4 linked regions of the Notamacropus eugenii genome follow. The protein of the gene in region 4 purifies or fractionates together with the protein of the main gene of each other region. This does not show direct contact. Links are inferred from orthologs where the notes say so. Each region holds a gene or a part of one and is shown on either strand. Other genes may lie near its edges.

Region 1 (6,994 bases), on a different chromosome or scaffold from region 4:
TTCTTTCAAGATTCAGCTCACATGCTACAAGATTTCTTGTTAGTTATGTTGCTGTTCAGCTATTGTTTTGGTCACATCCAATTTTCTGCTACCTCATTTGGGGTTTTCCTGGCAAAGGCAATGAAATGGTTTGTCTTTTCCTTCTCCAGCTAATTTTATAGATGAGGAAACTGACACAAAGAAGGTTCAGTGACTTGCTCAGGGTCCCACAGTCAGATCTGAACTCAGGAAGATATCTTTCTCAATTCAGGCTTGGCATTCTATCTACTGTACCATATAGCTGTCCTTCTTATTGCTTATTCATTCCTAATTTTTCATTCCTAGGAAAATCAGTCTGAGACAAAAGAAAAAGAATTCATATTCTCATTCGGTCAACTAGCATTTATTAAATATCTACCACATATCAGCACTGTGTTAAATGCAAGTCGTCAAGAAACAAAAAAACTGGATTTGGACAAAAGACACAAAATTCAATGTCTTGGTTAGTTTTTTTCTTGCTGTGAGTCAGAAGAAAACAAAATATACAAATAAGTTTGTATTTGATAAGCTTATGAAACAGAAACTGTCATGCTAATTTAGAAATATCCTTGTCTCCTTTCATACTGAGCTCCAAAGAAGAAAGACATGCAGGGCAGTTGGGTGGCAGCTTTCCAAACTATGAGCCACATGAGTGATGACTAAGCAGAAGTACCAAAGAAAGAAAATATTGTCGCCATGGTGGCATCAGTTGCCCTTGTTGGGGTGAGGGAGAACCATCTGCCATGTGGATAAGTTTATCAGGGAACTGCTGTTCTTCTCCATCAAGAATGAAAAATGGCATTCTAAATCATCACCTAAGAGCCATGGGTAGATAACCGAAGTTTAAATATTGGAATACTATTGGAAGGAGCTTTTTTATAGCCTTGACGGATGGAAGGCTGTCCTACTGAACACTTCGAAAACAAAATTCTTGCTACCAAAGTCCTTGGCACTGTCAAATGGGTCAACATCAGACATGGGGATATGATTTTATCAGTGGAAGTGACTTTATTTTTTTAAAAATTCATTTGTTTTCAGTTTTCAACAATCACTTCCCTAAGCATTAAATTTTCTCCCCCCCCCCAGATGGCATGCAATCTTATATGGGTTCTACACATACACAGTTATTAAACACATTTTCACATTAGTCATGTTGTATAGAAGAATTAAAATGAATGGGAGAAATCATGAGAAAAACCAAACCAAAACAAAACACAACACAAGAGAAAATAGTCTGCTTCATTCTGTGTTCTGATTCCATAGTTCTTTTTCTGGATGTGGATGGCATTTTGCCTCAAGAGTCCTTTGGGAATGTTTTAGGTTCCTGTATTGCTGTGAAGGGCTAAGTCTATCAGAAACAGTCCTCGCACACTGGGGCTATTACCGTGTACAATGTTCTCCTGGTTCTGCTCATTTCGCTCAGCATCAGTTCATACATGTCCTTCCAGGCATCACTTGCTCCTCATTTCTTATAGCACAATAATACTCCATTCCATTCATATACCAAAACTTGTTCAGCCATTCCCCATTGATGGGCATCCCCTCGATTTCCAGTTCTTGGCCACCACAAAGAGAGCTGCTATAAATACATTTGTATGTATGGGACCCTTTCTCAATTTTATGATCTCTTTGGGATAGAGTCCTAGAAGTGGTATTGCTGGGTCAAAGGGTATGTACATTTTTGTAGCCCTTTGGGCATAGTTCCAAATTGCTCTCCAGAATGGTTGGATCAGCTCACAGCTCCACCAACAATAAATTAGTGTTCCAACTCTTCCACATCTTCTCCAACATTTGTCATCTAGTGGAAGTGACTTTAAACATCTTTGACAATTTGCTTTGTTCCCTAAAGATCATGGGACCTTTCCATCAGACTCTTATCTGAAATCTCCTATGTATGTGGTTACTCCCATTAGAATGTGAGCTCCTTATATAAGGAAATTCTTTCTGTGACTCAAGGGGACTTACAACATACAACACTCTACTCTGGGTCAGGAAAGTGAGTTCAAATCCTGCTTCAGACACTTATCAGTTAGGTGGCCCCTTGGTTTGGTCATCCATAAAGTGGGAAAAATAGTAACATACACTTTATAAGGCTGTGCTGAGGTTCAAATGAAATAATATAGGTAAAGTGCTTTGTGAGTCTTAAAGCATTCTCTAAGTGCTAGCTATTATTACCATCCTTATTATATCTCAGGTCCAACATCAAAACAGCATGGGGATTCACATGCCGATGTACCTTACAGGTTCGCATGTTGTCCATTAGATTATGACTGCCTTGGGGGCAGGGACCGTCTTTGGCCTGTTTTTGTACATCCGGCCCTCGGCACACATTAGGAGCTTAATAAACGTCTACTGATTGATTGACTAAACTCAGGGAGCTCTCCAAGAGGCTCATCAGGCATTCCCTACACACCAGCGGAAGCTCAGGTCAGACACAAAAAGGACAGTTAAGAGTCTGTGCCTGGCATTGCGCTGCGGACTAGGAACACAAAAATAAGTCTCCTATTTGTACAGTCAAAGGGTTCGATGTGATTATCTCTAAATCTCCTTCCAGGTCCTAAGGCCTGTACCGGCTTGAGACAGGGCAAGGGGAAAGAGGCTGGGGCTCGGCGGGCATCGCGGACGTTGGCCACGGGGATGAAGGCGCTGGGCTCAGTGGGCACCACGGACGTTGGCCACGCGGATGAAGAAGGCGCTGGGCTCAGTGGGCACCATGGACGTTGCCCACGTGGATGAAGGCGCGTGGGCTCAGTGGATGAAGGCCTGTGGGCTCAGTGGGCAAAGGCCTGTGGGCTCAGTGGGCACCGAGGACGTTGGCCACGCGGATGAAGAAGGCCTGTGGGCTCAGTGGATGAAGGCGCTGGGCTCAGTGGGCACCGCGGACGTTGGCCACGCGGATGAAGAAGGCCCGTGGGCTCAGTGGGCACCGCGGACGTTGGCCACCCGGATGAAGAAGGCCCGTGGGCTCAGTGGGCACCATGGACGTTGGCCACGCGGATGAAGAAGGCCCGTGGGCTCAGTGGGCACCGCGGACGTTGGCCACGTGGATGAAGAAGGCCCGTGGGCTCAGTGGGCACCATGGACGTTGCCTACGTGGATGAAGGTGCGTGGGCTCAGTGGGCATCGCGGACGTTGCCCACGTGGATGAAGGCGCGTGGGCTCAGTGGATGAAGGCCTGTGGGCTCAGTGGGCACCGCGGACGTTGCCCACGTGGATGAAGAAGGCGCGTGGGCTCAGTGGGCACCGCGGACATTGGCCACGCGGATGAAGAAGGCCCGTGGGCTCAGTGGATGAAGGCCTGTGGGCTCAGTGGGCACCGCGGACGTTGCCCACGTGGATGAAGGCGCGTGGGCTCGGTGGATGAAGGCCTGTGGGCTCAGTGGGCACCGCGGACGTTGGCCACGCGGATGAAGAAGGCGCGTGGGCTCAGTGGATGAAGGCGCGTGGGCTCAGTGGGCACCGCGGGCGTTGCTGACCCTGTAGATCGTCCCGGCTGGCTCCGGGGAGCACGTTCTAGGCGCAGGGATGCTGCGGACAAGAGAGAAGACAGGCGGAGAGGACAAAGTCCAAGTGCAGAAAGAGGAAGGGCAGGCGCGGGGCGCTGCCCTCGAACTGACCACCACCCCGTCCGTCTAACAATAAAAGAAAGGATCTGGTCGCACTCAGTGTTCGATAGGGTGAAGACCTCCGCATAGCAGCCAGGGCCCCCCCAGCGCGCGGATTCCGCCCGCCCGCGCCTAGTTTCAGGGAAGGCGAGTCTTAGAACCCGAGAGCCGCCCTCTCCAGGCAGGTTCTCGTTCCCTCCCGCCCTGGACCAACTGCGCATGCGCCCCCTGCCGGCCTTCTTTCAAGCGCCCGGCCGCTTTCTTTCTCCGCTCTCGGCCCAGTCTGAGTTTCCCGCGGGTCTAAGGACTCGGGAGCGCGCCGAAAGCCGGGATCTGGAGGAGGAGGCGGCGCTAGGGCGGGGACACGGCCGAGAAACGCCCGGCGACCCCGGACTTCCGGGCGGAAGTCGGCCGCCGTCGGCGGGCGCTGATTGGCCGGCGGGGCGGCGCGTGTCTCTGCCCCCGCGCCAGTTTCAGCGCGTTGGCGCGGAATCCTGAGCCGGAGCCCGTGGACCATGGCGCCGGTGCGCGGCGCGGAGCGCGAGCCCGGGAGCAGCGGTGAGGACCGAGGCGTGGCCGGGGCCCAGGGGGCCCGGGGCGGGGAGGGTGGCGGCGGCCCGAGAGGCTCCGGCCCCGACCGGGGCGAGCGCTCGTGGGGGAGGGGGAGCCTGGAGGTCTGGGGAGTGGGGAGGGGGCGGCGGAGAGTGCGGGCGCGGTGGCCGTCGGTGGCAGCATCACCAGGTGGCAGACCTGCGTCTAGGGACGCGGGAGCCCCGAGGCTCCTCCTTCCTCATCCTGCCCTGGGGGAGCTGGGGGCGGGTCCGCTCCGACCGCGCTGGGCGTCCCCCGCTCAGGCCGCAGCCCCCGGACCCCGAGATCCTCAAGGCCGGTGCCTTGGTTTTACAGACGAGGAAACTGAGGCCCAGCGATGAGGAATCTGGGGCAGGAGCTGTTTCTCGGGCACCTTTCGGTCTCTCCGCCGCACTCCTTTTCCTCGACCTTCTTTCTCGATGTAACTGGAACTTTGGGTGTCCCTGTGGGGCACCCCTAGTGTCCTGCACGTTGTGCCTGCGCGCTCCGCCTTAGGAAATGAGCTTTTATTTTTTCATTTTTTTGCCTGTTTCACTCCAGTGGTGTCTCTAGAACAGCTCAGCAACATCCCGTTTGAATCTGGACCAGACGGTGGTCATTATTTCTGCACAAGTATATCCCATACATTTCCTAAGTGCCATGCCGAGGAAAAGTGTGTTCTGGCTTCTAAGGGGATAGTTTTCCACTTTATGCATTTTAAAATGGTTTTCAGATTCATCCAAGGAAAGGGGGGTAATAATAATGTTTGCCCTCTGGTCGTTTACTAATATGCTTAAAAATAGTGGTTACAAGTTAGTGCTCATATTTTAGTATTCTTTTATCAGAGAAATACTCCGGAATGGATATCTTGAATTCCCTAAAATAGAGTTGGAAACTGCACAATTACCCTAATCCAAATAACTGGATTTTCAAGTGAATACGAGTTGTCAGGAGTCTTGAGTCTGTTTTCCTTCTAAAGATCCGATGACTGACGGGCCTTTGCCTTCCTGGCCCAGTGTCTTCATCTCTTGTCAAATGGATACTTTCTTACTAATGAAAACTTTCTAATCAGTTTCAGTTTCATTCACCTACTTGTAAATTACAGATGTCAGTTTGCAGCAGTTGCTACAGTGGAGACTGAAGCCTTAAGACAGTGTGGTAGACCTCGTTGGTGTGGGGAACTGTCAGGACTGCATTACAGAGGAAATGGATGAACGTGCATCCTGACCTGTCACTTAAGCAGTGATTTGCTGCTAAGCTCTTCTTTTATCTTTTAAAAACTGAACTTCATCAGGGAGCATCAAAAATCACTGCTTGGGTGATGCTGTGCAATCTGGAAACCCCTCTTAAGTTATGGGCTGTGATTATGTTGCTTTGATGGGCTTGTGACTAGAATGTTTCCTTTGGAACATGCTGAAAGATTCATTTATTGTGCTTTTTTCTATAGCCTATCTATAGACTTTTCTTTGGGGGTGCCCCAGATGGTTCTTTTTAATCCAGCATTTGTGATTGCTAGAATCAGCCATTTTTTTCTATTAAAAAAAAATTTATACGTGTGAAGAAAGTGTTTAAAAAGAGGAAGGAGAATTATTTGTTTATGTTTAAATTGGAGAGTCAAGGCCCATTGTTTTCCATAGGTACTAGAACTTAGGGAAAGTGAGATATAGCTTGAAAATCTTATAAGCAATTGTTTACCTAGATATGATTTTTTTTACCTTGCTGGAAAGATGTAAAGGAAAGTTTATAGTAAAGCATTGACTGTAAGCTTCTGATTATTCCTGGTGCTGTACTAGGTGTACTAGTGAGAGAATTACTAGGTAATAATGGCTAATAATAACAGCTACCATTTATGTAGTGCTCTGATGTTTTGTAAGGCACTTAACAAGTATCCTCAACAACAGCCCTGGGGAGGGAGGTGCTGTTATTAGTCTCATTTTACTGATGTGGAAGCTGAGGCGGAGTTGTGAAATGACTTGCCCAGCATCCTACAGATAATTAGTGTTTGAGGTCAGGTCTTCCTGACTCCAAGTCTAATGTAAAACCCATTGTGTTACATAGCTGCGAGATCAAGTTCTTATCCTCTCAGGCACACACGTTGACAGAACTCTAGGTATAGGATCCATCTGTCCATAGCAGCTCAGGCATACTTTAATACATCAAAAGACCAGGGATTTCATCCATGTGACTAATTTCTTGCAAATGTAGATTGCAGTTTTCACATGTAGTACAGGTTTCATGAATTTCTGTGTTTAGAAAAATTTGTAACTTGGTAGCCAAACTTGTACTGATGAGCTTCCTGGGACTTAGCTAGATTGGTCCTTGATTATATTGGCCCTGGTGGCATTTGTGTTCCACTGATAGGTTCTTCAGGACATGTTATGTGCTCCATGTTGTGACGAGTCGTTGGAGGACTTCAGAAGAGGAGCCCACATGTGCAAGGAATTTTTTTGATGTTTCACTGAGATGCCTGATCTCATTTTTGTGGGATGATGGCACATTTCTCTTCAGTGGCAGAGAATGCAACCATCTGTGCTTTCTTATTTTGCGCTATTTTTTCCCCTATCTTCTTAAAATTCCTTCATAGTTTGTTTACCTAGTGTGCTCGAGGGCTTGCTTTAGGTCTTTTAACATTAGTAGGTACTAGTGACACAATTAGGCTGTCTGCCCAGTAGTCTTCATTGTCACCATATAACAGAACCATCTCCTTTTCTGGTCTTCTATTTCTTCAATAATATCTTTATACCATACCTTGGGCTTGAGTCATTATTGGTATTATCTTGCACAAACGTTTGAACTGACAG
Region 2 (7,841 bases), on a different chromosome or scaffold from region 4:
GAGTCCTAGATGTTCCCTTGGGACGCCCCAAGATGGCACCTCGAGATAGTCTCAAAACCTAAGAAGCTCCAAGTGATAACTATTTCTATTTGTCCCTACAGATAACTCATAAAGTTCCCCCGGACTATACAAATACCTTTGTGTCCCCTATAAACAACCAAAAGCCCCCTCCCAATTAACAGATGTCTGCACTAAGCAGCCCTGACAGATGTCCCTAGATGTATCCTGGTCAGAGTCTCAGGGGTCCCTAGAGCCAGCTCAGAAATCCTCCAGGAACAATCTTGGACCCCACCCTCCCAGAGAGTTTCAGCATTCTCCCTCAGATATCTCCTAATGGAATCCTATGATGGCTCTTACAGATAACCTCAGCTCGCCCTCCAAGGTATCCCTTACAGATACCTCCAGAGCCACCCTCTGCTCCCCTATCCCCAAACATCCAGACCCCATGAAACACTCACGGCAGGGCCCCTCAGTGTCAGACACATCACCAAGATATTCCACGACTCCCCTGCTCCCTCTGATAATCCCCAAGAGATGCCACTGCCCCAGCCCACCATCATAGAATCCCCAAGTTCTGAAGGGGTAGCAGGAGCTGCCTGAGCAGGAATGTCCTGGCCTCATGGGGCCAACAAGTAGCTGTGGTCATCCATCCAGCTTCCCTTCAGAAGCTCCCCACCCTCTGGGTCAGCCGGTCCTCTTACTACCTTCAGCGGTCAGGAAGTGGAAATGCCCATCCTGGCAACTCCTATTCTGCCCCAGGGGTTAAACGGGTCTAGAGATAGCTTTCAAAGACCCCTGGACAGGTCATCTCTCCTCCAATTCAGCCTCCTGGCTGCCTCCTAGTAGACACTCATCTATGTCCTTCCTTGGCTGGGGTGCCAAGAACTAACCACCATCCTGAAGACAATGATATCAGGCCAGAGGGCAGCAGGACCCCCTACACTGCCCCCCACCCCCACCCCTAGCCCTGCCCAGTCCTCCTGTGCACTGGGCCAAGATCATCACATTTGCTTTCTTGGCTTCCAAGGATGCTAGGAACTTTTCTATCAGAGTGTTCAGAAAAGCTGCCGCCCAGCTTAGGTCCTCTGGGACCCACACATGGCTTCAAGTGTCTCCCTATTTATATTTATTCTGTAAAGACAAACTACATGTCCACTACAGCATAAGCTGCTCAAGAGGAGGGATGGATCATTCTTTGCATTTGCATCCCTGCCTGGCATGGAAGAAATGGGCAGGACCTGACAGACCCCTGGACAATGTCACCCTTAGATTCAGCCCACAGTCTTGCCCCCAGGAACTCTCTGAGTCCCTCCTGATGGCTGTTGTTAACCGTCTCTCCTAGCCCTGCATCATCTGCCCTGACAATCAACAATGCCAGCCAATTCTTGACCAAAGTCATTAATGCAATATTGAAAGAGTACCTATTCTGGGGCTCCCCCAGGGTGCCACAGTGCCTTCAAGACCACCCACTGGGGGTGACCACTCAGCCCCTTCTGAAGCTGCTCCAGGTGAGTGAGGACACTACTCTCCACCTTGTCCACAACATGGCAAAGACAGTGGAGGCTTCACCCAAATCTAGGTAGACTCTGGTTTGCACCTAGCAAACCTCTGGTCTGTCCTGGAAAGCTGGCTCTTTGTGATCATCACCTTCTAGAGGGGAGAGGGTGCCCACAGACACCGGCAGAGGCCCCCAGGCCTCCTTGAACCTCCCATGGATATTCAGAGATGTCTGCTACTAACCCCTTTGGTGAGACATTCCTGACGTCCTCAGTATCCCCTATGGACACCCCTAGAGCCTCCCGTAATAAAGTCATTCCTGAAGATTCTATTGATGTACCATATCCTCTGTCCATAGCAAGGACTTAAGTGCCCCATTAGACCCTCAAAGTCCCCTACAGACATTCCTGGAACCCTCACAGACATGATAAATGTCATGTATACACCCCCAGGTAGACCCCAAAGCCATCCCATAGAAAGCCTAGGGGCTTCCCACTGACATTCCCAGGCTGACCCCATAGACATCTGAGGTGCCCCCCATAAACACCCCCAGGGGCTCCTACAGACACCCTCATAAATGCCTCCAGGGGCTTCCTCTAGACATCCCCATAGATATCTGAGGTGCTTCTTCTAGACACCTCCAGGTGCCTCCTATAGATATCCCCACAGACATTCCCAAGTGCCTCCCATGGATACTCCTCTAGACACCCCCAGGGGCTCCTCTAGACACCCCCAGGTGCCTCCTATGGATACTCCTCTAGACACCCCCAGGGACTCCTCTAGACACCTCCAGGTGCCTCCTATGGATACTCCTCTAGACACCTCCAGGTGCCTCCTAGAGATACCCCCACAGACATTCCCAAGTGCCTCCTATGGATACTCCTCTAGACACCCCCAGGTGCCTCCTAGAGATACCCCCCCAGACATTCCCAAGTGCCTCCTATGGATACGACCCTAGACACCCCCAGGGGCTCCTCTGGACACCCCCACAGACACCCCCAGGTGCCTCCTATAGACACCCCCACAGACACCCCCAGGTGCCTCCTATGGACACCCTCATAGACGCCTTCAGGTATTTCCTCTAGACGCCCCTCCCCCCCACAAACACCCAAGGCGCTTCCTCCAGACACCTCCAACTGCCTTCGCTAGACAATCCCAGGTGGCCCCTACAGACACTCCTGGAGTCCCCTAGATAACCGGAAGTCCCTCCCGCCGGGCCTCCGTAACCGGAAGTCCGCAGAGACCTATGCCTCCTCCCCCTCCTCCGATTCTCTCACCGGATCCTGGCTGCTGCACGACACAACGTGGCGGAGGCGGATCTCGGGCATGGTGGGTCTGGGGGCCAGGAACGATGAGACTTCAGAATCCAAGGCTTCTGGACCAGGCCGCAGCCTGGGAAGGAAGAGGCCGCTCTTTCAGGGCAGCACTAGTGCGCAGGCGCGCGGACTCCCGGGCCTGTTCAAAGTCGGGAGCGCGCTCCCCGCAGCCGCGCAGGCGCACTGGCCCTGCTCCACTGTTTCCCCGGCCGGTTCCGTCCCCCCTCCACCTCCCCCCGCCCGTGGCCACTCTAGGCTTCGCTCTCTATGACCCGTCCTTGCTCTAAGCCCGCCCCATGACCGGACTGACGCCCCAATTCCACCTTTCCTTGGGCTGTCCCTCCAATAGCCAGCCTTTGTTCCTGGCCTCTCTATCCGCTCCTCTTGCCTCTCCTCTCCCCGGCCCCGCCCCCTCCGACACCCCGCTCTAGCCCAGTCTCTCTATGGCCGCCTTCCCCTGGCTCCACCCCTTTTGTATGACCTAATTAGCCCTTCCTCTCGCCGACCCGCCCCCAGGAGCTTACCGCCCATCTCCCTCATTTCCCGCCTCCTGGGCTTGGAGCCCATTCTTATTGGTCACTGCATCCCTGTTCTCTTTTCCCATTGGGTGGCGTGGTCCGAGGGCGCCTCCTCCTCGCTGCCCAAGTCGAAGGATCCCAGTGCTTTGCTGCACCCCAGCTCAGCCCAGTTTAGTTTTGGAGGAGCCCTTGCAGGTGTGGAGTGGGCGGGGCCATGCAGACCCGTTCCGAGCCCCATTAAACCCAGGCAGCCTCAGATCCAGCCCAGGCATCTGAAGCTGAGCCTACGTCATCGGATTCGAGCCCAGAGAGGGGCAGCGACTTACCTGAGGTCACACAGCAAAGGGCATAACTAGAACCCAGTACCTCCCCACCCAGAGCTAGACCTGGTTTTGTGAAGGGTGCCCTCTGACGACAGACTATTTACAGGCCCAGCTATTAATTTACCATTCACCGCCCCCTGAACTCTACCCTTGGGGAGGTTTTGTGGATGGGGGTGCAGCTTGTACATAGATCAATACATACAAAGTAATTCTGGGGGGCAGATCAGGAGGAGCTTCCTGGAGGAGGGGGCGCGCAATGACCCCCTCTGGGGCCAACTGTTCACCCTGGAAATGGACCAAGGCTGCACGTCGCGGCTTGAGCCCTTAAATGAGGGAGCAGATGTCAATAACGCGGATCGAACTCGCCCCTCGGGTGCAAACCCCTCCCCCACCTCCTGCGGGCACCCCAGACCCCACCGAGCGCTTCCTTTAACTGTTTTGAATCTTTGCTATTTGCTTTTTTTTTTTTAAGCTAAAAAAAAGTCTTTCTCGGAGATTCTTTTTACACCCGACCTCAACCATAACTAGGACGGGGGCTGATTCCAGAATCCAGCCTGAAAGCTACCATCGGGGTGGAGGTGGTCCTGGGGAACACCGGTCTTGGGAGCTGCCTTGTGTGAGCTCAAGTTTGGGAAGATGAGGGGGTCCTTGGGTGTCTGAGCCGTCAAAAGACGAGGAATAAGCTGTAGAGAAAAGAAGGGCACCATGGACAGGGCTCGCGGGAGTCCGGGGAACAGCCACAGGTGACCCAGCTATCAGGGTAGCGTGGGTTAAGTAGGTGGGGCTGGGGGCGGGGCTCGCCTCAGGTGTGTTTTCCTCTTGCGCGAGGCCTAGGTATCTCTGCCGAGGAAAACAGTCATCAGAATTTCCGGGCATTGCCCCGACTCCCCTGCCTGGAAATGGTTCCCGTTCTGGAGACGACTCAGACCTTAGAATAAAGAGACTCCACGGTGCTTAGAGCGCTGAGTCTGGAAGACCTAAGTTCAAATCCAACCTCAGACCCTGGGCAAATCACTTCAGCTCTGACTGCCTCAGTTTTCACATGTGTGAAATGGAGCTAATAATAGCACTTGCCCCCCAGGGTTGTTGTGAGGATCAAATGAGATAATATTGGTAAAGTGCCTGGCACTATATTTATGTTGGCTATTAATTTTTGAATTCTGCATTATCTGTGGGGGTGAAATATACCTCCTTTCATCTTACGCTGTCACAGCGGTGTAGACCTTCATTACCTCACTTTTGGACTATTACTGCTGGGGTGGAAGGTGGTCTGCTTAGAATCTCTCCCTGCTCTAGCCTGTCCTCCCTTCAGCCACTAACATGATTTTCTTAAATCACAGATTCAGTAATGTCCCTCCCCTGCTCAAGTGGTTCCCTATTACCTCTAGGATAAGATACAAAATGCATTGTTTGCGGTTGAAAGCCCTTCATAACCTGGCCCTTCCTACCTTTCCAGTCCTCTTACATCTTACCCCTCCACGTGTACCCTTCAATCCACTGATACTGAGCCCCTTTCCACTCCAACTGACCTCTCAGGCTTGAAGTCCCAACCAAAATCCCACCTTCTATAGAACCCCTCTTACTCCCAGTGCCTTCTCTCTGTTGATTCTTTACTATTTATCTGTATATCATTTGCTCTGTATGTTCCTTTTTAGGTTGACCCCCCCCCAATTAGACTGTATGTCTCCTGCCCTCCTTGAGGGTAGGGACTGTCTTTTCCCTCTTTTTGTATCCTCAGTACTTAGTTTGATGCCTGGCATATAGTTGGTTGTTTGACAGACTGAATGAAATGAAGGCTGTCTTGCATCTCCTGTAAATGTATTGCTACCTTGAGTGCTTGTAAAGGATTTGAGAGACCCTTTTATACACATCTGTGGAACCCTAGCCAGGAAGTATATTCTGAGATTTCCCAGAATGAACCTGGAGGGAGTAGAGGTGGACAGCATGAACCAACTCCCCACCCCCACCCCCAAGCTCAAACCCAGGCTGTGTAAATCCAGAGTTTTGGTCCAAGGTTTACAGTGACCTAACATCCAACTTCTGCCACTTTTTCAAGAGCAAGATGCCCTCTGTGGAACAAAACTTGAGTCATGCCCCTGTTCCTTGGCCTGATGAATCACTTGAAAATCTGCTGCTGCTCTTGGCTCTGGCCATATGATGAAAACTGAGGCAGGGCACAAAATTCCCATCCATTGATGGCAAATTCTCTGGTTTTCACCAGCCTTTCAGCTCTCAGGTGTTCCTCCATGTGTGAGTGGCCCCTTTCCCCAGCATGTTACAACCTCCCTTTCCCCACCTGTTTTCAGACACCTGGGGGAGGGGGTGTGTGCTATGGGAGACAAAGAACTCCCAGTCACTTCAGTCTCTCCAAGCTTACAAGCTCTTTTGAAACAGCTCCATGAGGTAAGCATCAATGATCCCATTTTACAGGTACAGAGGAAGGAGAGAATGTGATTTGCTCAGGGCAATGGCAGTATGTGAATGGGAAATCATCAGAACATAGGATTCCCCAGTTTGGGTTGCCATCTTAATTATGAGATTGTAGATTTTGAGCTGGTAGGGATTTTAGACTCCATCTCTCCAACAAATGGAAAAACTGAGGCCTTGAGACAGGAAGGAATCTACTGAGATTAATCTCAGTTTCTCCATCTAGAGCATGAGGAGGTTATACCTTTAAGGGTCCTCCCAGCTCTGACATTCCAGGTTCTAAGGTTCTCTGCCATTCCATCTTACAAGGTCCCTTCCAGCTCTGACAATGGAGGATTCTATGAAGTGACTAGGGGCTCCCCCTGTCCCCACCCTCCCCCAGGGACTTGTACCCTGCCCCATCACGGGGAGGGGTCAAGTCTGGGGGCAGCAGGTAAAGAACTCTGCACATAAAGACAGGAGTGTGAGCAGGTCTTGGGGGTGGAAGGACCCAGACATCCTGGCCCCCACATCAACGTGTAGGGACAAGCTGGGCAAGGGAAAGCTGGTTGGAGAAGCTGGGCAGGGTAGGGTGTGAGTCATTAAGAAAACTGGGCAAAAGAGAAGGAGGGACCCTGGGACTTTGACTCCTCCCAACACTAGCCTCTTCCCCCCAAGCTTTGCCATCCTGTATGGTAGAAGATGGACCAAGGACAGGGAGGAGGGAAGGAGTATGGGTCCCAGGATCCTCTAAGGTTATCTTGGTAACTGGGACCAGACTGGGGGGAGGGGCAGGGATTGGGCTGGCCCTTCCCCCTGCCACTGCCCTTCTATAAGGCCTGTGGGCCTTGATCTAGGAACAGACATCATGAGGATCACCAGGAACCCCCAGCTGGGCCTGTTGGCCCTCAGCCTGCTCTGTACCCTTTTGCCCCTTGGTGAGTGCCACCCCAGCACCCCTGGGTTGTGGGTCCTGGACTCTAGGATCTGGGGAGGGGATAGAAGTGAGGAAGGGTTCCAGAATCCCAGGAAAGTAACTTCATAACATGTTTCTCTCAGTGGGATCCAGGTCTCTGGACCTCTTTCCAGAGGTCCTACAGGGGACCATCCTACAGGGAAGTCCCTTTGGTGTCTGGCATCTAGGCATTTGAGCCTCCAGCACCTGGGGGAAGACAAATGTTTGAGTCCTCCATTCCCTCAGGGAGTTAGGAATCTAGGTACAAAATCACCAGAACACTGGGGACCTAGGCATTTTGATCATTCATGCTCTCAGGTACCTCATTCCTGGACCCCCCTGAGCTAACAAGAATGGCTAGTAGGGCTAGCTCCTGGGTCCGTGACAGCTGCCCCCTCCCCCAGCCCCAAAGAAGTACCTGCCCTCTAACCTCTAACAACAATCCCCCTCCAGTTCCAGTCCAAATTCTGGACTCAGGCGTCCCCAGCCATGTAATTACACAATGCAGCCTCAGACTGAGTGGCTTCCTGCCGCCAGGGGATAGTTTGGTTGTGAGTGTCCAGGGACTCCCCCATTGCTCCACCCAGGTCACAGGACCTGGTCATCACAGGAACTCAGTCATCCAGATCTCCAGCAGAGACCCAAGAGTTCTGATCCCCCCATCCATGTCCCCTCAGACATCCAAGGTTCTTAATCCCCCCAGCCCATTCCTTCAGAGATCCAGGTCTCTGGTTGCCCATGCTTCTGCCTCCTCAGAGACCCAGGGGTCCTGATGGCCCAGTCTTTCCCCTCAGCTCAGTCTCTGTATTGTGAGGTGTGTAAGGAA
Region 3 (7,200 bases), on a different chromosome or scaffold from region 4:
GCGGCACATCTGTCCAAGTGAGCCTCCTGCTGCCCTATGCCAAGCAGGCCGGCCCTGGGAAGATCCACCTGAGTGAGCCTCCCGGTGCCTGATGCCAAGTGGGCTGGCACATCCCTGTGAACGGTGGGCACTCCCAGGGCGAAGGAGAGTGCCCAAGCACAGGACCCCCGGGCACATTCGCCTGAGTAAGCCTCCCAGTGCCAAGTGGGTCAGCGGCGCCTCACGCCCCCACATACCTGTAGCACAGAGCGCCACGAAGGTCTGCGCGTGCTTGCGGATGATCTGCTTGTTCTCCTCCAGCGCAGGCATCTTGGACAGAAAGTGTTCGATGAAATCGTGGGGGGTCATAGCCGCCAGGTGCCACTTCAGCTTGTTGACCAGAAGCAGCTCCATGTGCTAGAAGGAGAGAGCACGGGTAGTGCAGGGAAGGGGGAGGGGATGCCCCAGTATGCCCCTGGGGATGGATGCCAGGATGGAAGTGGAGAGGGGGCTGCGCCTCCCCCACCCAAGGAAGGAGGCTTCCTAGGGACGGATGACCAGCGGTCACCACGGGAGGCGGGCGGGGGAAGGGGGGGTGCTGTTTCCAGGAGTTCAGACAAAAGGACCTCCCACCATCTGGAAGGAGAGGAGCCAGGCTCAGGAGCCGCGAGCACGCGGAGACACCGCTAGAGGGCAGCCGCTGCCCACTTTGTGGCCACGTTAGCTCGGTATAAACGTGGTGGCTGGAGGAGGGGAGGGGAAGGGAAGGGAAGGGAAGGGAAGGGAAGGGGGGGTGAGGCAGGGGCGCATCTTGGGGGAGGGCAGGGATAGGGCTGGAAGTAGGCAAAAGGGCTCGCGCTCTGTCTCTGCCCAGCCAGGGTTCTCTCCTTGGGGAATGATCACGGGCCCCATTCCTAACCCCCCCAACCCAGCAGAGAGGACACCCCCTCCCAAGGGCAGCTTGCAATTCTGGGGGCTGGCTGGTCAATGCAATTTGCAAGCTGTGACCTAGGTGGGCAGCAGGCTGGGCCAGGGTTAGGGGCATCCAGGTCTGCTGCCGAGGCCCAGGGGCACCCGACCACCCCCCTTTGCCCCCAGGAAGCTAGGGCACAGCAGGCATCATTACCAGCAGTTCCTCAGGCCGCACCGAGTGGTCCGTGTAGATGCACAGCTTCTCTGCCGTCAGGGGGATGGTCTCCTTCATCTTGGACGCCACGAACATGCAGGTGGCCCCCAGCAGCTGCAGCCGGCTCTTCTTCAGCGGCTCCAGGGACAGGAACCGGTCCAGATAGTTCATAGCCAGGGGGAAGACTTCCTCTTCGCATTTCTGCTCCTCACACACCTGGGGGTGGGAAGGGGGATGGAAGCAGGACGCCAGGGACCCCCAACCCTCCCCGCCCCCCAGAAACAGAAGGCCTGCGATCCCTGAGACACCATCCCCACCCAGCGGGACTGGAGGGGCCCGTGAGGAGGGGGCCGTGGAAAGTGCAGAAAGACCAATCAAGTCAAAGTTGCCCCCCCAAATAAAAACCCAAAACAAAAGCGAGGCCCGAGAAACTGAAAGGAAAAGTGGCCGACCAGAGGGCAAGGGAGCGGGAGGGGGGAGTGGGGGGGCACGGGTGGGGCGGGATGTGGGGGGGCTCCTCCGGGGTTCCTTCCCCTGTCCCCTGGGGGGTACCCTGGGCCCAGGCCACCCGAGGGGAGGGGGCGGCCGGCCTGGCGGCCCCGGGACCAGCGGCCGTGGCCCGAGACACAAAGGTGGCGGCGTCCCCACGCAGGCGGCGCGGCGGCCGCATTTCCCCAGACGTCATCTTTTCAAAAAATATTTAAAAATATTTAAAAAATCGCCCGGCACGTACAAAACCGCTGACAATGAGCCCCGGGCGAAGCGTGAGCGAACCCCGGTCTCAGGGACCGCGTAGGATCTGCTGGGGGCACGTGGGGAGCCCCGAAATGGGACGCCCCCCCCGTGCCCGCAGCGCGCGCGGCCGCCCGCCTCTCTGCCAGCCGGGGCAGCGGCCGCGCCTTCGGAAATTAATTAAAAATACTCAGAGGCCCGAGGGGGGCCGGCCGTGTGTCCGACAATGGGGGACAGGGTGCCCGGGGTCCACCCGCGCCCATCTCGAGCCCCCCCGGGGGCCCCAGCGCGCTCCGGCCCCGGGGCCCCGCGATCTGGCCCAGTGCGGCTGGCTGCGGCCGGGAGGCCAGGACCCCCCCTCCCACCTACCCACCCGAGGGCACAGTTCCCGGAGCGGCTGGCCCGGGCTGCCCCCGCGCCCCCTCCACGCGTGCCCCCTCCTCATTATTAATAAACACTTCTGCTTCGCTATAAATGCGCAAGATGGCGCGGAATACTGGCACGGGCAGCCCCTGCATACGTGTCCTTGGATATTAATTTAAAATAAAATCCCCCCCCTGCCCCCTCCCTCCCCCCCGGCCCCGGGCTCCCCGGCCAGCCGCCTGGCCATCCCAGCCCGGCGGCCCTCGGGCTGCCCTCCCGTGCGGTGCCGTGCCGGGCGGCCGGGTCCCTTCCTTCCCACGGCCCCGGCGGGGCGGGGGGCGCGCGGCGGAGCCCCACCAACCTCGAGCATCCAGGTGGCCACGATCTTGCGCATGTAAGGAAGGATGTCCTTCTGCACGCACTTGAAGTACGAGACGGAGGGCGAGCACGTCTCCTCGGCTTTGAGCATGGTCTGCAGCGCCCGATCGTTGAGAAGGTTGGCATCGAGGTACGCCCGGCGAATGGTCTCCACCTCGCAGCACAGCAGCTGGTGCTCCATGGCCGGCGGCGGCGGGCGGGCGGGCTGCTCCCGGTGCTCGGACGGACGGACGGACCGCTGGACGGACGGGCGGCGGGCTGGACGGCGGGAGCCCGCTGCTGCTCGGGCTGCGGCTGCGGCTTGCCTCGCGGTGCGGAGCGCGGGGGGCTCCGGGCCGGGCCGGCGGGGCTGGGGACTAGCCTCTCGGGGCCCGCCTCGCGGTGCGGAGCGCAAGGCTCGGACGTTGCGGGTGCCGCCGGGCTGCTCGGCCGCCGCCGCCGCCGCCGCCGCCGCCGCCACCGCCGCCGCCGCCGCTGCTACTGCTGCTCCAGCCTCTGGAGGCTCCAGGACTTTGCAGCTCGCCCGACTCCCCTCCCGTAAGTCCCAGTGACGTGACTGTTGTCGAGCAGAGATCAAAGCCCGGCAGAGAATGAGAAAGGGAGAGAGGGAAGCGGGGGGAGGGCCGGGGGCGGGGGGAGGCGAGGCGAGGGGGGCCGAGGGGCCGAGCCTTAAAGCCATCCAGCCCCTCGCCTGGGCCAGCCCAGCTCCCACAGAAGCCGGGCTCGAATAGAAATGCTAATCACTCCGGGACTAGCTTTCTTTGGGGGAAGTACGGAGAGGGGTGCGGGGGAGCCGGGAAGGAGGGGGTCCCCCGCGCTTTGTAAAGGGCAGCTCTTGGTCCTGAGTCGTGGGACAGACCCTGGTGGAGGCCAGGCCACCCGCAGCCAGACGGCCAGGCAGACACGTGAACTCTTAGCGAGCAGCCCCCCGCCCCAGCTAGCCGATGACCAAAGGGGCTAAAGGGGATCGGGAGGCGGGGGCAGGGGGCGAGGCCTTTTTCCCCCTTCGATTTCAAAAATCATTTTGATTCACTGCTGTAGACACTTGGGAAGCTTCTTAGAACGCCCGCATGTATGCGTGCCTGGGCACAAAAGGCCAGCAACTCCCTTGCAAGCGATCCTCCCCTGGAAAAGACAGCGTTTCAGCCCACACTTCCCGGCGTGGGACCCCCAGCTCTTCTGGCCCCCGAAGAGGGCCACAACAGTCCGGGACAACAAAATGGTGGTCAGCATTTCCTCTGGCCTGTCCTAGTACTAAGAGGAAGACTTTAGCCAGGGGAGGGAGGGAGGGAACTCCAGGCAAACCACCTTTCCCCCGGCCTCCTTCCACCTCTCTTCCCCTCCCCACTCAGGGGAATTCAGCAGCGAACCTCTGAATCCACAGGCAGGCGGCAAAATTCCGTCCTGCCTCCTTCTGGGGGAAAGAAACAGAAAAGAGATTGAGAGGGGAGAGGGGGAGGAGAGATCAATAAAAGAGAAAGAAAGGAGAGAGCGAGAAGAGAAAAGAAGAAAAAGAAAAGGGAATGAAAGGGAAGAGGGGAAAGAGGCTCAAGGTGGGCCCCCTCCGTCAGCGCGGGGTGGCCAGGGGGAGCGCACCCAGTTTGGCCAGGGGCACAGTCTTGGGAGGACTTTGGTGGGTTTCAAAGGGAGTGGACAAGAAATTAACAAAACGTGTTCAGCTCATCCGTGGCTCGCTCCATGTGCCTGACAGCGCCTCAGAAGGAGCTCAATAAGTGCGTGTTTCCTCCCTTGGTCTGCAGTGGACCGGCGCTCGGGCTTTCTCCAGCCCAGGGGCGTACACACGCCCCCCTCCAGTCTGGGCCCCTCTCCCACCTTCCTTCGAGATCCCGTTCATTTCACTGAGCCGGGCCGGGGCCCGCAGGCAGAGCCTGGGAAGGGTTCGGAGGGCTTGGAGCGCCTCGAGGGCCCTAGGGTGTTGGAACGCCACGCGTAGCCTCGAGCACGGGTGGGCTCCCCACCGGGCTCAGAGGCCTGGGGAGGAGGCCACGGTTCGGCGGCGTGGAGCCGGCCACCCCGCGCCGCCCACGCCGGGGCCCGACGTCAGCGCCGCCACTCTTTCATTCATAAAATCGCGGCCGTGGGACTGCCCCGCTAAACTGTAGGGCCCCAGGCGGGCTGCGACAGACCCCCGAGCCCCACCGCGACGTGGGCGCCCCCGGAGTTAGCCCCCGGCCACCCAACCGGCTCCGAGGCCGATTCCTGGAGGGAGCTTTCCCCCCTCGCTGGGTGGAAACCCCAGAGGAAGCTGGAATTAGCATTAGCCAATAGGAGACAAGATGTGTTACCAGGCGGATCAGGCAGATCTCAACGAGGAACTAACAGGCTGCATGGCCCGGACCCAGGGACCGGCGCTAAAGTGCACGGTGCGCGGAAAAACGTGAAGACCCGGGCCGCAAGGCCGAGCTCCCCTGGGCCGTCTAGGCTCTGTGGTCCGGTGCGGCCCTTCTTGGGGGGCGACAAGGAGAAGCCGGGGCTGGGAAGCGCTGAGTACACCCAGCCAGTTCCTTGACACCCCGCGTGGGCCGACCTCCCAAAGCACCCGGGGCTGGGAAGTGGAGTGGGGGGATGAGAAGAAGAGGATTGCAGAGACCCCCGAATACCGAGAATTAGTCTATATTTTTTATTTTCTCCGTTTCATACTGCGCTGGCCCTTTCCAATTCGACCCGACGGGGATGTCCTGCACTACAAGTAGTGGGGGGGATAAGGAGAGGCTCCCGGGAGACAATGAACTGACGACCCAGACGGGAGGGGAAACCTCGTTTACTGACCAGAAAGAGCATAATTAAAACGATCTTCCCATCCGACCCCAACTCTGACTCGAGAGTTAATTCAGGCGGATTCTTGTGTGTCTGACTTCGCTGGGTTGTACAGGATCAAGGAAACGATGGGATGGGCCAGCAGGTAGCGAAATGGGGACATTCCGGGGACCACCCCGCGGGAGGCTGGGGGTGCGGGTGTCCCCCGGGCCAGACGCTTTTCCCCCAACTCCAGGTCCATTTGGGTTAGACAGGAAGCCTTCCAAAGACCCGCCGCTCCCCACGTGGGTGGGGGGTGTGGGCTCACCTGCGGGCGTGTACCTGACGGCGACTTTAAAGGCTTTGCTTTCCCACCCCTACCCATCCCAGGTCCATAGCTGAGTTTTCCTGAAGAATGCCTCAGGGAGCGGGTGTGGCCCTCACCGCCCACCACCCTCCCGTCGACTCGCAGTTTCGGGGACCTATCCCGCAAGTCCCCGGTCCCCAAGGTTGTGTGCGGGATCGGGCTCGCTGGGAGCACATGGTGGCGTCCGTCTCTTCTGCCAACATAGCTGGGGTCAAAAGAGGGGGCCTGGGGACCCCCATTCGTCTTCCCCTCCCCAGTCGGGCACGATAAGCTGCTATTAGAGGGGGGCCTCCTGCAGCCCCTCCCTGCCCTCCCCGCTGGGACGGGAGGGGCCTCATAAAACCGACCCGGAGTAAGAACTCATAGCCTCCCTCCTCCGGGCGAGGGCCCGTGGGTGCCCAGGGTCACCGGGAGGGATGGAGGAGGTGGTGCTGGGGGGGCAGCCCAGAGTGCGCCCCCCCATAACCTCGCACAGCCGTTTGTGTCACTCCGTCCCTCCCCGTCCCCGACGGCGGCCTGGGCGAAGGCAGCGCCCCTGCCGCTGCCCCCGTCCCCGCCTCGGCGGGGCCTGCCGGGTCCTGCCCTTGATCTCCGGGGCATTGTTCTGCAGCCAGAGCCTTCGCATCCTTTACCTAGGAATTTGAGAGGGGGCGGGGGCGGGGACTCGGGGAGGGGGCGTCGCTGCGAGTCATGCAAATCTCAGCTTAAGGAAGTTCCAGGGGAGGGAGCGACAACCCACCCCCCATCGCGCGTGGGCAGGGCTGGGACTCGGGGGCTGGCGGCTGCCCGCGTGGGAGCGGGCCGCGGCTAGGCCCGGCCAGTCCAGGCTCGGCCCGGCCCGGCCCCGGGAGCGGCGAGCGCGCGCGGCTATCGCTTTAATTGAGGCTCGGGCTCCGCTCATTAAGAGGCAGCGCGGCGCATTCCGGGCATTCCAGCCGGTGCCTCCGCTCCCCAGGCCACGTGGTGCCCTTATCACCGCCGCCTACCGTAATGCCTGCAAGAGGCGCGCCCTGGCCCAGCGGGGACGCGACGGGACCGGCCCGAACGCCTCCCTCTCTGGGAGTGGCCGTCGGGGCTCCTCTCGGCTCCGCGCAGCCCCGAGCCCCCGGAGGTTGCACCAAGGCCGTAGTAATGACACCTCTGTTAACCCCCGACGGGAGTGTTCTGGAGCGGTTCTAGGCTTGCAAAGTGCCTTTCCCATCCCTGGACCGCGGAGCCTCCAGGCTCAGGCAGGTGGATGTGAAGCGACGTCCCTGGGGTCGAGCAGCTGCTGAAGTGTCCCAGGCCGGGGCTCCTGGACCTCGAGCCCGCACCCCGAACACGGTTCCCATCGCCATCGCACCAGAGAGTGCCAAACGCCTCCTTCGGTTCGTAGAGAGACCCCAGCAGGGAGGCCCCCCTAAGCATCCTCGACGCCTCGCCCCTGAGCAGCCGGGGAGGCTGGACCGCAGCCTCGGCCGGAGCTCCTCCTCCGGCCCATTTTCCCAAGCAGGTTTTT
Region 4 (7,469 bases):
CCTGAGGTAGAGCTAAGGAAGGAATGAATTCCAGACATGGGAGATGACCAGTGCAAAGGCATGGAAATGAGAGGTGGGCTATCTATCAAAAAGGAATAAAAAGGCCATTTTTGCAGAAGTAAAGTCCAATGAAGTTGAAAAGATAGGTTGGAACCAGGCTGTGAAGGGCTTTAAAAACTAAACAAAGGAGCAACAACAAAAAAAGCTGTAGGAAGCCTTAGTATCTGATTAACAGAGCCACATAGTCACATTGACACTTTGAGAAAATTTCTGTAGCAGCAGTGATTGTGGTTCTGGTCTGCTACCATAAAGGAGACTTTTTCATTGGCTGGGGATTCATAACCAGAAGTGGAGAACATTCAAGGGGTGCTAGTTCATCTTCTCTAGGTTGGACTAGAGAATGGACCAATCAATAGGCTGATACAATAATCTAGGTAGGAGGGGAAAATGATCATTTGCATAGCTCCTACTAGGTAGATGCTATTATTAGCTCCATTTTACAGATGAGAAAATTAAGGCACTTAAGCGTCTTGCTCGGGATCATACAGCTAATAATAATAACTAACATTTACATAGTGCTTACTATATTCCAGATGCTTTGCAAATATCCCATTCGATCCTTAAACAATCCTGTGAGGTAAGAGTTACTATTATCATCTTCGTTTTACACATGAGGAAACCCTAGGGTCACACAGCTAATAATTGTCTATGATCAGATTGGAACTCAGATGTTTCTGATTCCAGGCCCTGCACCCTCAGCTGCCTCTAGGTTGATAAAGTAGTCACTGCGTGAGTGGAGAAATGTTGTGGAGGTAGAAATGGCGAGATTTGGCGACTAATTGGATAGATAAATGTAATGAAGAATGGGCAGTCAAGGGTAATTTCGAATTTACAAACCTCTGAGACTGGTACCTTTGACAGACATAGTGAGGTTTGGAAGGGGGGGTTTGGGGAGAAAGATAATGGGTTAAGTTTCAGACATATTGAGGTTGGTATGTCTTGGAAAGAATCAGTTTGAAATGTTCCATTAGCCACTGGTGATGAAGGACTGCAGCTCAGGGAGAGATAGGCTAGACATTCTTATCTGTCAATCTACATGGAGATGGTAATTAAAGTTATGAGAGTTGATGAGGTTCCCTAGAGAGTGTAGAGAGAAAATAATACCCCTGCTACTCATAGCATAGCCTTCCGAGCCTATTACCTTTCAAATACACTCAATTGTCTGCATTAAGAGTTGGAGATATATAGAAAAAAGTGAAAATAGTCCCTGAATTCAAAGAGCTTACATTCTACCATTGGGAAACAGATGGTGTTTTGCATTGTTCCCTAACTATACTATGTAGGCAGTGAGAGCTACAAGAAATCCTAGAGATCATTTCTGGAGTCCAGTGCCTTTCTTTTTTTGTCATCTGTAATGGGATATGGGCCAGTGAGTCCCAATGCCTACGAGCATGTGTAAGGTACATCTGATGCAATCTCCACAAGGACTTAGAGAAGAAACTCTGTAACTGGTTCTGGTCTACTTACCATAGAAGAATTTTTAACTGGCTGTGGCTTCATAGTTCAGAGTGAGGAGCATTGAAAAAGTATCAATTAACCAGAATGTGCCCTTCCCTAGGCTGACTTCTTCCTGTTGGGTGACCTTCTGGTGAGAAGGGAAAGACAGAGCTATAATGAGAGAGGCCTCAGCCACTCTTTATCCGAGTTGGACATATAGGTGGAATAAGCAGAAGTTAGAAAGCTTAGAAAAAATTGTCATACTAAGCAATCTGATCTTTTAAAATACAAAACACCTACATCTTCCAGACTCCTCAGGAAAGTTTAGATGAATTAGTCTTTTAACTCATTTATATCTTTAACTATACTATTATTAGTTTTCAAGTTTCATTATTATAATCTATAATTCATTTTTCATTCTCAAGTCTCCTTGTCATTTTCTTTTAAAATTTATTCTTAACATTCATTTTTAAAAAAATTTTGAGTTTCAAATTGTCTCCCTCCCGCCTGCCCCCTCATTAAGAGGGCGAGCAATATGATATCAATTATTTATAGGAAATCATGCAATACATATTTCCCTAATACCCATGTTGGGAAAAAAAGGAAGAAAAAATAAAATGAAAAATTATGCTTCAATCTGCACTCAGTGTTTATCGGTTCTCACTCTGGAGTAGATAGCATTTTGGCATCATAAGTCCTTCAGAACTGTCTTGGATCATTATAGTGATAGGAGTAGCTAAGTCTTTCACAATTGATCATTGTTATTTTATTCCTTTTACTATGTACAATGTTCTACCGGTTCTGCTCACTTCATTTTACATCAGTTCCCAGGCTCTTTGGAAACTACCTTGTTATTTCTTGTAACACAAAAAGGTTCCATCACAATTATATATCACAACTTGTTCAGCCATTCCCCAATTGATGGGCATCCCCTCAATTTCCTTTCCTTTGCCACCAAAAAAAGAACTGCTATAAATATTTTTGTACTTATCGGTCCTTTTCCTTTGATCTCTTTAGGATACACACCTAGCAGTGGTATTGCTGATTCAAAAGGTATGCACTGTGATAAATTATAGCCCTTTAGGCAAGGTTCCAAACTGTCCTTCAGAACTGTTCAGTTCACAACGCCACCAATAGTGCATTAGTGTCCCAATTTTTGTGTAGGAATACATTTAACTCAATAGTGATACAGTAAGGAACAATATAAGGGAAAAAAGATATAGGGATGGGAAATAGAGGGATTCAGGGAAGGATTTGCCATAAACAAAACAAACCCTAAGCTTGGAAAGAAGGGATCATGAACAGGAGGTTAAAGGAAAGAAAGAATAACAATCTCTAATAAAGTGAGTTTGAGGAATAAAAATGAGAAAAAAAAGAAAATAGAATGGAAGGAAATAAATATAAAACTATCTTGAATGTAAATGCTTGACTGTGGTTATGTGATACAGGGTTCTTTATTTCTTTTCTCAGTAGGAGGGGAGGTAGGAAGGAGAAAAAAACGCTTGATTATAGAAAAAAAATTTTTCCGTATAGCTTTAACAGTTATGTGAAAGATGTATTATAGACATGAAAGGAGCAATATAGATAAGGTGAAAGGTGACAAGGACCAGAATTAGGAGGGTGTCCATGTCAATGGAGAGAAGGCGATTGATGTGAGTGTGGAGGTAGAATTGAAAAGACTTGGCAACTGAATGAATATATGATGTCATGGTGAATACATGATGAAGGAATGGAGGATGCCTCCAAGGCTGAAAACCTGGGTGACTAAAAGGATAATGGTGCCCCCACAAAAACAGGGAAGTTTGGAAGAGGAGCAGGTTTTGAAGGAAAGAGAATTAGTTCTGTTTTAGTGATGCTGAGTTCTACATGTCTGTAAGACATCCAGTTTGAAATGTCCAATGGCAGTTGATGATGCAGGGCTGGAATTTGCAATATATATCTGGGAGTCGTCTTGGTAGAAACAAAAATTTAATCCATGAGAGTTCATGAAGTCACTAAGAGACAGACTGTAAAGCAAGGATTCCCAACCTCTTTCTGGCCCCCTATCTGGCTTTCAATAAATCCTTCGGTACCTCCTTTCAGTATGAAAGGAAATAAATTCTAACGTTTACTATGCATATGTACGTACAAATAAAATGTAGAGATGAATTTTCCATAATGAAAATTTTATTTCGCACATACCATTTTTAGCATTATAGTTACACTCTCTCTTCAAAACTATTTTTCCCCACTCACACTACTTCTTTGGGAATATTTTAAAGGGATAATAGTTACTTACCAAATAATTTCTTTACCCTGTCCTCGGTCTCCTAGCATCCCCCAAGAGTCAACCTACCCCAGGTAGAGAAAGTGTGGGGTGGAGAGAACAAAGCCTGGGGGCGGAAGGCGCTGGAGAATGGGGCAAGGAGACGCCTCGGTACCGAGCCTCCGTGACTTTGGGCCAGTCACCTAATCTCCCTTGACTTCAGTTTCTTGATGTCAAAGAAAAGGGGTGGGAAATGAAATCCAGCTACGTTCTCTCTCTTCCAGCCGCGGACACACAGGTCCACTTGGTTTAATCCAACAAGCCACCCGCTAAAGGCATACAGAAAGAAAGTTATTGGTACCTAAGAGTTTAAAAGAACCTTCCTCACTGGATCCAACCTTTCCATTTGACGGATGAGAACCTAGAGAACGGGAAGGGGCCAAACATCCCCTGCCCACCAACTGGCCAGAGCACGTCCATGGTTCTTTAAAAATTACAAGTCCTTGGGTGAAGGTAAGGTCTTTCTGTTGTGTTCAGAAACTTGCCAGCAAAAAAAGGTCGTGGCAAACGTTACTGCCCATTACCCTAGAAAGAAGGAACGTGCATTATCCATGCTTATCGTGTGCCACGCACTGTAACGTACTATTTTTTCTGATTAAAACATGAGTGAGCCACGGCTTGTGGAGCCAAAGGACCCGGGTTGGAAGGCGTTTTGCCACTTGCTACCCATGTGACCACCCCGGGCAAGTCATTTCAGCTCCAGGAGGCCTCCGCTTCCTCGTCTGTAAACTGAAGGGATTAGATGAAAGGCTCTCCAAGGTGGCTTTCAGCTCTAAATCTCACTGTCCGAGGAGTGAGCCACCTTCCTGGAGTGAGGTTTTAAACCAAAAATAAAGCCCCCGGCCCCAAACCAAAAAGGATTGAGAGGAGGTGAACCTGAACAAGCCCGGGCAACGAGGAAAGGCGGGGTAAACCTGCTCCCTCTGATTGGCTCAGGAGGTTTAGGGGGACCTTCGCGATGGGATTGGTCGAGGGAGCACCAGTAGCGTTAGGGAGGAGGCGGGCGGTTACGCCGTGACGTCATAGCGGCTTGCCGGCGAGCGCGCGAGGCGGAGCAGCGGAGCCTCATTTGGTTAGAGGCGGCGGTGGTGAGTGCGTCTCTGCCCCCGCTTCTGCTCCCGGGCCGAGGACCTCGCCTCAGTGGGTGAGCCCAGCCCTGTCTTCCCCTCGAGCCTAGGCCGCTTGGTTTTTCCTCGCTTCTGCTCTGGTATCGCTGTTCGCCACCATGTTCGAGGCAAGGCTCGTGCAGGGCTCCATCCTCAAGAAGGTGCTGGAGGCGCTGAAGGACTTCATCAATGAGGCCTGCTGGGACATCAGCTCGGGCGGGGTGAACCTGCAGAGCATGGACTCGTCCCACATCTCCCTGGTGCAGCTCACCCTCCGCTCCGAGGGCTTCGATACCTACCGCTGCGACCGCAACCTGGCCATGGGCGTTAATCTCACCAGGTGAGCTCGGGCCTCCGGTGCTGTAAACACAGTGTTCCCTCCCCCCGCCCCCGGGCTTCTCCCCGGGTTCTTGGCGGGAGCGCAGCCGAGCGAGGTAGTTCTTGCTGCCCGGGCCGGGGAGCGGTGGGGGGGGGGGAAGAGGCGGACGCGCCTCATTGGTCCTGGCGGCGGCAGGGGGCGGGGCCGGGCCGAAGCGCGCGGTTTGGGGAAGGGGAAGCGCGCCCCGGCCGCCTCCCGCCAACGTCATTTCGGCGCCAAGCTCACAATGCGGTCGGAGGGGCTGTGGCGGGAAGGCTTGCGTCCGATGCCCTCTATTTAAAGTGAAAAGCATGTCCGCTCCACGAGAGGCCTCGTGGCCGGAGCGAGCCCGGCCGAGGGAGGCGGCGGCGGGGCGCCTGTTAGGGAGGGCCGGCGGGCTGTGCTGCTTAACAAAAACCGGGATCGGCGTTCGGGTAAGGAGGGAGATCGGCGGTGCCTCCTGCCACCGGAATGTGCCTGTTTACGTCCACCGTGCATCTGCGTGTGCCCCGTTACAGGGCCGGCTGTAACCCCTCCGGGGCTTTATCGATGAACGTGTTTATTTACTGCTTGTTCTCCGTTGTCCAGCATGTCCAAAATACTGAAATGTGCCAGCAACGAAGATATTATTACCCTAAGGGCCGAAGACAATGCAGATACGCTGGCGTTGATCTTTGAGGCACCAAGTAAGTTTGTCCTATAAACGCGTACCCCGCTTTTTAGTTATAACACCAATACTGAAATATAAAATGGCATCTTGTGTTTTATTTGTAGATCAGGAAAAAGTTTCAGACTATGAGATGAAATTAATGGATTTAGATGTTGAACAGCTTGGAATCCCAGTAAGTATCGGAGATTTCTTGTCATATGTCTCATTATAATAGTTAAATAAAATTAATATGACCAAAGTCAATCTCTAATACTTATATATTTAGGTTCTAATATGTAAAGAAAATTTTTGGCATGAGAGAAAATCATTTTTAATAATGTGACATTCATTTTAACTTAATATGTACTACATTGTATATCTATTTAAAGAAATAAAGGGTTAAATAAGTCTAAAATCAGTGTTAAAATTCTTTGATTTATTAAGAATGAATAATAATAACAAAAATAATACAGTTAGGATTTAGAGCTAGAAGCCAATTTAAAAGCTTATTACCATACAGCAAAGCTAAACAAGTTAAATGTTGCCTGAGGTCGTAACTGAGAGTAAAGATTTGAGCTTCAGGTCTTTACTCTCCAAAACATTGGTTTCTACCACACTAGACAGCCTCTTTCCTCTTAATTTCCCTTCATTCGATCTCTACTATAATATTTGTATCTTAATTTTTAAGCTCATTAGACTTTTTTTTATTAATAACAGTTTATAAGGAGCTTTTCGTAGACTTTAATCATTTCCAAGGAAATATAAATTCTTATTATCTTCATCAAAGTAGAAAAGTGATTGGATATTAAAATTTCTAATATAAAAGTAACTAATTTTTTTTGGAAAACAAGTTTTTGTAAATTATACAGCTACCCATATACCCTTTCTGTGGCCCATCTTTATGTATCTAACAGGGCTGTTAATATTGATAATCTAGTATCTAGTAGGGTGACTGGTATCGAAACTCTTGGTCATTCCAGAATACATTCAAGAAAAATAGATTTGGCTACTCATAGCTATTAAATAGTTAAAATAGAATTAAATGTGCTTTTCACTTCCTTTTACATCAAATATTCCTTGAAAAGATAGTTGTACTCTTAAGCTTTCCTAAATAAATTATTTAATTGTCATAACTTAATTATCTTTTTGGAGTAGGTGTTATTCAAAAGAATGCAATTTCATAGCTCTTAATTCTTTCAGCAAATGAGATCGATGACATCTAAATATTTAAACTCCTAAATCATATTCAAAGCTGTTTTTGTATTACAGGAACAGGAATACAGTTGTGTGGTCAAAATGCCTTCTGGTGAATTTGCACGAATCTGTCGGGATCTCAGTCATATTGGAGATGCTGTTGTAATCTCATGTGCAAAAGATGGTGTAAAATTTTCTGCCAGTGGAGAACTAGGAAGTGGAAATGTAAAATTATCACAGACAAGTAATGTTGACAAAGAAGAGGAAGCTGTAAGTCAAATTTAAATCTTGAGAAAATAATTTAAGTACAGTGAATTAGGATATTGGTAAAGCAAAACCTATCCAGAGTTGAATAATAGG

What was found.
Region 1: the proteins of PCNA (region 4) and POLA1 fractionate together in Homo sapiens (co-fractionation; 3 studies listed by BioGRID). This does not show direct contact. The link is inferred for Notamacropus eugenii from reciprocal best matches to the Homo sapiens genes PCNA and POLA1.
Region 2: the proteins of PCNA (region 4) and XRCC1 purify together in Homo sapiens (affinity purification with western blotting; 3 studies listed by BioGRID, with this or other methods). This does not show direct contact. The link is inferred for Notamacropus eugenii from reciprocal best matches to the Homo sapiens genes PCNA and XRCC1.
Region 3: the proteins of PCNA (region 4) and CCND1 purify together in Homo sapiens (affinity purification with western blotting; 5 studies listed by BioGRID and IntAct, with this or other methods). This does not show direct contact. The link is inferred for Notamacropus eugenii from reciprocal best matches to the Homo sapiens genes PCNA and CCND1.

The regions. Positions count from the first base shown.
Region 1 is NC_092876.1:452,201,456-452,208,449, reverse strand, and holds the start of POLA1 (DNA polymerase alpha catalytic subunit), read left to right. Parts: upstream 1-3,993; 5' UTR 3,994-4,138; coding exon 4,139-4,181; intron 4,182-6,994. UniProt on the Homo sapiens protein: Catalytic subunit of the DNA polymerase alpha complex (also known as the alpha DNA polymerase-primase complex) which plays an essential role in the initiation of DNA synthesis.
Region 2 is NC_092876.1:25,376,918-25,384,758, reverse strand, and holds the start of XRCC1 (DNA repair protein XRCC1), read right to left. Parts: upstream 3,005-7,841; 5' UTR 2,826-3,004; coding exon 2,775-2,825; intron 2,718-2,774; exon of another isoform or gene 2,628-2,717; intron 1-2,627. Other genes in the region: PINLYP (phospholipase A2 inhibitor and Ly6/PLAUR domain-containing protein), read left to right, coding at 6,929-6,998, 7,810-7,841. UniProt on the Homo sapiens protein: Scaffold protein involved in DNA single-strand break repair by mediating the assembly of DNA break repair protein complexes. Negatively regulates ADP-ribosyltransferase activity of PARP1 during base-excision repair in order to prevent excessive PARP1 activity.
Region 3 is NC_092873.1:21,909,726-21,916,925, reverse strand, and holds the start of CCND1 (G1/S-specific cyclin-D1), read right to left. Parts: upstream 3,014-7,200; 5' UTR 2,760-3,013; coding exon 2,562-2,759; intron 1,322-2,561; coding exon 1,106-1,321; intron 397-1,105; coding exon 237-396; intron 1-236. UniProt on the Homo sapiens protein: Regulatory component of the cyclin D1-CDK4 (DC) complex that phosphorylates and inhibits members of the retinoblastoma (RB) protein family including RB1 and regulates the cell-cycle during G(1)/S transition.
Region 4 is NC_092872.1:632,582,278-632,589,746, reverse strand, and holds the start of PCNA (proliferating cell nuclear antigen), read left to right. Parts: upstream 1-4,462; 5' UTR 4,463-5,027; coding exon 5,028-5,248; intron 5,249-5,854; coding exon 5,855-5,952; intron 5,953-6,040; coding exon 6,041-6,108; intron 6,109-7,184; coding exon 7,185-7,379; intron 7,380-7,469. UniProt on the Homo sapiens protein: Auxiliary protein of DNA polymerase delta and epsilon, is involved in the control of eukaryotic DNA replication by increasing the polymerase's processibility during elongation of the leading strand.